Linked DNA regions of Xenopus tropicalis. The protein of the gene in region 2 interacts with the protein of the main gene of each other region in a biochemical or structural test. Links are inferred from orthologs where the notes say so. Each region holds a gene or a part of one and is shown on either strand. Other genes may lie near its edges.

Evidence for each region.
Region 1: of the proteins of ptprc (region 2) and csk, one has a biochemical effect on the other in vitro, tested with the Homo sapiens proteins (2 studies listed by IntAct). The link is inferred for Xenopus tropicalis from reciprocal best matches to the Homo sapiens genes PTPRC and CSK.

What each region holds. Positions count from the first base shown.
Region 1 is NC_030679.2:94,060,085-94,063,914, forward strand, and holds part of csk (tyrosine-protein kinase CSK), read right to left. Parts: intron 1,990-3,830; 5' UTR 1,928-1,989; coding exon 1,913-1,927; intron 1,517-1,912; coding exon 1,403-1,516; intron 1-1,402. UniProt on the Homo sapiens protein: Non-receptor tyrosine-protein kinase that plays an important role in the regulation of cell growth, differentiation, migration and immune response.
Region 2 is NC_030680.2:111,375,850-111,379,679, reverse strand, and holds part of ptprc (receptor-type tyrosine-protein phosphatase C), read right to left. Parts: coding exon 3,773-3,830; intron 2,668-3,772; coding exon 2,542-2,667; intron 2,139-2,541; coding exon 1,984-2,138; intron 1,137-1,983; coding exon 1,001-1,136; intron 1-1,000. UniProt on the Homo sapiens protein: Protein tyrosine-protein phosphatase required for T-cell activation through the antigen receptor. Acts as a positive regulator of T-cell coactivation upon binding to DPP4.

The DNA.
Region 1 (3,830 bases), on a different chromosome or scaffold from region 2:
TTAAACGAACAGTACAGTGTAAAAATAAAACTGGATAAAATAGACTGCGCAAAATAAAAAATGTTTGTAATATAGTTAGTTAAGCAAAAATGTAATCTATAAAGGCTGAAGAGGGCCAATGTCTAACATAATAGCCAGAACTCCTCCTACTTCCTGATTTCATCTCTCTAACCTCTTAGATAGTCAGTGATTTTAGGGGGCCACATGGGGTATAACTATTGAGTTAGTTTGTGAGCACTCAGGTCAGATTCAAATGCAAAATAACTGACCAGTTATGTTCCATATGCCCCCCCTCAAGTTACTGATTGGTAATGACTGCTAACAATTTAGAGAGCTGTAAAGGAGGAAGTAAAGTTCTGGCTATTATGTTAGACATCTGGTCACTCCAGCCCTTACAGATTACATTTTTGCCTAACTAACTATATTGAAAACAATTTTTATTTTGCACAGTCTATCTATTTTGCTCCTTTCAAAAATCTGGGAATATGGGAAAGTGGAAATATGAATGACCTAATGTGCAGTCATACAAACATATCACAGTAGCACAGTGATCCCCAACCAATGGCTAAGGAGCACCATGTTGCTCACCAACCCCTTGGATGTCGCTCCCCGTGGCCTCAAAGCAGGTAGTTATTTTTGAATTTCTGACTTGGAGGCAAGTTTTGGTTGCATAAAGGCTATGTGTACTGCCAAACAGAGCATCCCATATGCTGCCAGTCTACATAGGGACTACCAATAACAGCCCTTATTTGGTACCCCCAGGTTCATTTTTCATGTTTGTGTTGCTCCCCAAACTTTTTTCATTTGAATGTGGCTCATGGGTAAAAAAAAGGATGGAGAACTCTGCAGTAGCACATATAAATAGTGTAGGAATAAAAAAAAAAATATGGCTTCCTGGCATTCTTTAGCAAGGAGCCATAGCAATCTACCTTAGGCTATGGTCAACTCACAGAACTGTGCAATACCTGTTTTCTCCAGCATGGAGCAAGTTTTGAGGGGGGGTATGGCAGTTTAGACCCTTAACAAACTAAGTAAAAGCCTAAAGCCCCGGCGTAGTTGCATGGTTGCTTGCTAAGATATGAGCTTCCTGGTGTGTGGAAATGTGCTCTACTCAGTCACTTATATTCACATACATTACTTCACTGGGGAAACGGTAACATTTTAGAAAACTTCATTTTACCCTCTTTAAACTGAACAGAGACATAGAAAATGACAAAATAAGCTTAGAGTATTTAGGACAGGAGTCTGTGCTCCATCATTTGCACAATTACAGTTATCAGCATGTCTCACCACCAATGCCAGCACCTGCATATATGGTATGTTGGCCATCAAATTTTCTACATCCTGCCTATTGTTTGTTTGCACTATCGGATCACACATAAAATAGATATTTATTTGTTACCTTTGTCACAGCCACAATGGTCAGCACTTCACCTTTACTAAAATGCAGGTCCTGCTCAGCTTTACCCTGGAAGTCATAGTTAGCAATGCATTCTGTGCCAGCTTGCCAAGGGGCCTTTGAAGTGGGAAGCAGAAAAATGCTAAATTAAAGTCTCATCGCAGTAAGCATGATCTTTAAAAATGTTAACATTTTAGTGACTATGATTACAAAAAATTTGTTCTAAACATGGGCTACTGGAGATGTGAAAATACATAAAAGAAATTGGTAGAATAGGTTCATAGCACAAGTAGCATACTGCTACATTTTTGAGCAGAAGGAAAGCATCAGAATCCAACCATATAGCCGGTAATTAGCTTTAACGGAAACCGCCTGTCAAACAAGTGAGGTGCTGCAAGTCTGAGATCTGGTGGGTCTCCGCCAGTTGAAAAACACTGGAAGAAAATATACCATGTGCAGTGTGACCCTAAGAGCGTAAATGGGTAAAGTTTTGATGCTATCAGTATAACTTACCTGCACCACTGACATGTTGGGGGCTATATATGCTGAAAAGTCTCAGAGAGAGAAAAATTCACACAGTAACATCAGACCTAAAAAAAAGAAACAAATATCAGTCAGAACTTTGATTTAATGTAAAAAAATTCTACCACAAAGTAACATGTAAAGATGGTAAAGATCCCTTCATACTGTGAAAGCTTCAGAATATTTTCTTTTCCAGCAAATAAAGCAACAATCTGTTTTGCCACTAACAAAGACATATTCCATCACCTTGTAAGAAAGGATCTCCTCCTCTTCCCTGTACTAAAGTTTACATGTATTGATCTTCTTTCTTTATAGTATTTATAACTACCAACCCTTGTACTACCCAAGTTATTACTTTTACCCCACACATTCTTAAAGGAACAAGTTTAACATGAGTTCAATGAATCGGGCTTGTGCAGAAAAAAATCTACGTGTATAGTTTTTGCTGTAACATAACAGGTTGCTGAAGCCCCCCTTGAGAAATAGGGGGCTTCAGCAACTCAAGGAGAGAGCAACAGCAGGGAATAATGGGGAGAGAAGTTGTGGGGCAGAGTGAAAAAGTGCCGTAGAGAGAGAAAGCAGAAAGTGACAGTGAGCTATGGAGCCATAGTCTGTACCCACTGTGCAAAGAAGGTCAAAAGGATAGGGCAGTCCTAAAAAAGGGTGTTAATAAGTGAGAGAAGTCAAGGACAAAATGACGTTTTTGTGTCACAGGGCAATGGCGGAAACAGAAAAGGAAGGTTTTGCAAAAGGAAAGGATAGTTTGGTAAAAGAAAAGAATACTTGCAGCAAATATAAAAATTAGGCTTTTTTACCAGATGTAGAACAGGAAGTGTTTGTATGTGAAAATGAAAAGTTCAGTGACACATGCAAATGAAACGCTGAGGAGAGTTCCTTGTTATTTCTACAAAGGGGGATTTCTTCGTAGTAGACAGATGAAGGAATGTAGGGTCAGGGGACTAAAACAGGATCTCCATACTTCTCATAGTTGCTGGTTAAGAAAAAAACTTGGCTTAAGATGAGTTCTTGAAAGGGAATGACTCCAATTTGGCTTAAAGTGATAATCACTAAAAACTTCTCTTCAAAATATTCATATGCATTAAAAGTTACTGTCATGTGGATCATTTTTTGCATAGGTTTGCTATTGGAAGTAATTGTTGCGTATAGTTCCTAAACCTGACTGTTGTCAACCTGACTGTCCCTTCTCAACCTCTAAGTTGAAATTTCTAACACAACAGACTGCTGCAGATCCTCGTTGTTATTTTATATGCCTAACACTGCACTGAAAGATATATGTAAAGGAATGAAACTATGGCTGCTGCTAGGGGTAACTATGTCAAACTACCTGACCTTGGTCATACCTTGCATATGCACAAAAAAATGCACACTGACATATGTACAATATTATATATTTATATAATATATATATATATATATTATATATATATATATATATATATATATATATATATATATATATAATCACCCCTCCCATCTGTGTGTGGTTATTTAGAGGAGAGCCTGATACACAGCAGTGAGCCTCCCAAGAGGGCCCAGACATTCATAAGCGCAGCTGCATAAAGAAGAAGGAGATAGGGATGATTATCACCCCCTCCCCCAGACTGGCTGGACATTTCAGGGGCAAAGAGAAATATTTGAGTCCCAGCTGTTGGCTGCTATTTTAGATAATGATTTTAATTTGGAGAAGACAGAAATAGTGCTGAAGGGAGAAGCAAGAGCAGGAAATAAGCATGCAATTGACTGGGCAGCATAACCATACGAAGGGAGGGGCAAAGAACCAGCTTGAGCAGCAGATATGGTTTAATAGAAAGAGTAATAGGTGATCCTTTGACTTTGGTCACAAACATACTATGAACATGATGCGTATTTCAGCTGATAAACAAGATAA
Region 2 (3,830 bases):
GATTTGATTTGAAAGATCTTTGTCTTTTTCAACCTCATCTACTATGTTGCTATCTTTGTATGATGTTTCAAGAATATGGAGTCAAAATAAATACAGAATACAAAATAATACATTAACAATTACTAAGCCTGTATGATAAATGAATATACTGTAACCCTATTGAGGGATAGCTGAAGCAGGACAATGGCGTGCAGACCTTTAGGGAATAAGGAGCTTCTTCCCGCAGGCCATACGAGCTCTCAATCATAACAACATCACATGGATCTAGGAACCATTGGGAGCTTCTGTCAAGGATTAAGTCTTTTTTTATTTTGCACACGTGGGACAATTGCACATTGCACTTTTCGCACACTGCGAAGTTGAACTGTAACTCTTGCACATTATCATGCCAACTATTTGGCCATGGTTCTACATTGCATTACATACATTTCAATTATTGCATTATTGTGTTCATTTATTTTATTCATTTTATTCTTTTTATTCTTAACTTCTTATATTCTATATTATTCCAATTTGAGGTCAATAATAGTAGTCATCTAAGCATTTCACTGCATATCATAATTGTATGACTGTGTATGTGACAAATAAAATTTGAATTTGAATTTGAATTTACTCAACTCATACATTGAACATTATTAGTGCAGAAAGAGAGAGGAATGGTCAGAAGAGGAGCTCGCGTACAACATGATGGATGTTCCCCTTCTAAATAATGCTACACTGCAGTCAATTCATATTACAGTACAATTTTCCTGTTTGTTCTTATCTCATGTGTCATTTAATATTGTATGTCATATTGTTGTTAGTATGTTGTGGAAAACATCATACGCTCTAGGATCTATGTACAAAAGATTTGTTAATATTTTTCAGCAAACAGCAACTGAGACAAATAGTCATCACGATATTACAATCTTTGTCATTATAATGGTAATAGAAACTTATTACCAGTTTTGCCCTAATGCAGTGTATTTGTACTATGCAACAAGGCTTAAACTAAACTCACCTCTACTTGAACCATCAGGCAACGCTGACGTCTCAGCTGCACAACATAGCCGTACACATCCACCCTACCCTCAGCTTCAAGGCCTTCAAGCATGGCATCAATGCTGACGTATGTTCCTGTACGTCCTACACCAGCACTGAAAAGTGAATAAATAGGGACATGTAATCAGTGCTTAGGTATGGTGCTGTACATCCTAAACAAGTACCGGAAGGGGAAACATTGAGATTAATTTGAGTGAGTATTAACATCCCTAATCTTAACCCTCCATATGAGTCAGAATCAGAATTAGTAAATTATATGCTGATAACAATAAAAATGTTTCTGTTTAAGGGACAAAACAACAGATACAGCAGCCATAGTTACTACTGCAGGCAAAAAAACAGCTGACTAATGGGCAGTTTCAATATATTTGTGTACAACAGGTTTTGCGCCCTAGGTTCCAAGTTCCTAGGTTCCCTAAAATAGTTTGCTGTGAGGCCCAGTATTGCCTCAGGAGTATTTGTCTTCAGGAGTCCAGCAACTAGGCATATGCAAACATAAGGCTTGCATTCAATCATTAACCCAAATGTGGATTTTGCACAAATCTTAGAGGCAGATTTACTAGAAATCTAACAACTGCAAAAGTCTACGGGAGAAAAGTTGCAAAAATCCTGAATTTTTCGACTTTTCACATGAAAACCACAACTTTTTCAATTTGTCGCACAAAAAAACAACATCAAAAATCCTTCATTGAAGCAAAAGAAGGACCATCTGCCATTGACTACATGACCTCGCCAAATTTTAGCTGGTGAATGGTTGTATTCGGATTTTTAGCCATTTGATAGTAAATTTCTAAATCTCGCAACTTTTTTGCCGTGACTTTTAGCGCTAAATATCTGAATTGGGAAAAAAATCAAACGGTTAGTAAATGGCCCCCTTATTGTTGGATGAAATTCGAGCAAACCCCCAAATCAGCCAAGAAAGGAAACTGAAGTAAGTGATACCTGCAATGAACAATGATTGGGCCACTAAAGAAATTGTTCAGTGCGTTAACCCTTCGACGTAGCTTGAGGAGCAGATTGGGGTCATCGGGAACCCCGTGATCTGGCCAGACGGTGAACTGGATGTGAGTCACATCTCTCTCAGATCTCTCCTTCTCCTGCAGAAAAGGAAAGATGGAATCAAGAGCAATTTATTAATCCAATTAAACAAAACAGACCTTGGATATCAGTCCATCAGATATAGTTGCAACTATAACATGAATTTTTCTAGCTGGATATATGTTTTATTATTTCCTAATATGCTAGCAGCCTAGCAGTCTGGTATGGTGACTTTGTATTGCAGCTTGGCCAATACATGCCGGAATACAGTTCCTATAGCTTTGTTGCCTTTCAATAAAATGTTTCAAAATAGACAGTGCCACTGGAATCTTAGGTGATGCTTGGTTGTACATAATTGTGTTTTGATTGCTTTATAATTTTTATATTTATTCAAACTGATATTGCTGCTGCCTAATTGCAAACTACTAAAAACAATTGTCACATTTGGATGATTTTACTCACGTTGTTGATGTGCAACTTCCGTGTAATGTAGTCAGGAAAGATTTTCTCCTCTGTGATTTTCAGAACAATCTCATTGTAAGTTGCAGATTCATCCTCCAGTGATGGCCAGTACTGAGCACATTTGTTCTGAAAATGAACAGATACAACATAGACTTTTATAGTGAATGCTTGTGTGGACAATAGCATGCATTTGGCAAATAAAGTGTGTGTTCACTAGTTCACACACAGAGAACACTGTGAGCACGTGTGCAGACTCTAATGCACATGTAAAGGTTTCTGCAATGTCCTCTGAATGCTCTCCTGTAATGTAAATCACTGGTAGGAAAACATATGTGTTGCTTCAACCAAAGTTTCCTCGCAAGGCAAATTCAGGTAACTTCAGAAAGCCGAAACAACTCATAAGTATTCAGAGGAGAACGCTAGAGGAGGTTAATCGTACGGCAACTAATCTCCTCCTGTGTCACTGGTCTAACGTTTCCCAGATTACCCCAGGAGCCACATCTAACATTTATGAAATGCTTAATAATAAGCAGCAAACTTTGCCTGAAAAATTAATAAGAAAAATCACTTTCCTATAATCACTTTCCTTGATGCGATTAGAACTTGGGGAAGGGTTTCTGTACCAGGTGGAACCTACTCAAAGCTGGTACTTATATCTACACAAAATACTGGATATTTTATACTGCTCCAACTAGTGTTAAATTAAAACTAAAAACATCAAAACCAACATGAATTTATTGGAATGTATAGTGGGATTGCTATGTACAGTATGTACTGTAACATTAGCAGAAATAGACAGTTTAACAAATGCCAAGCTTTGGCTTCCCTCCTGCATTGGGAAAAGTACTTTACTGCTCTGAGTTGCACTGCACATTTCATTTAGACAGGTTAAATGCAAGTTGTGTCTTTAAAACTCCCATCCAAATCCCCATTCCCCAATACAAATCACATGTGGGAGAAAAAATTAGACAAATTAATCATTTATCAACACTGGACAAGTTTGTGCTAGACAAATAATGCATTGCAACCAATCAATTAGTCACTTTTTTCAGCCAGTTACAGCTGAAAACAAAAATTTTGACTTGTTTGGCACAGGTTACTGTCCAGATGCAAATTTGCTCAGTGTTGAAAAATAAGTTCCAGTGCAATAAAACACTAACGCTGATGTCTACCATTTTTAACATTAATGCTTAACGTATGTGATTTTCATTTTGATTTTGCATTTACTCACCCGGTTCCCCTCTTCACAGCGTGTCACCATCACAATTATTGTTGACTTTTGCTCCCAA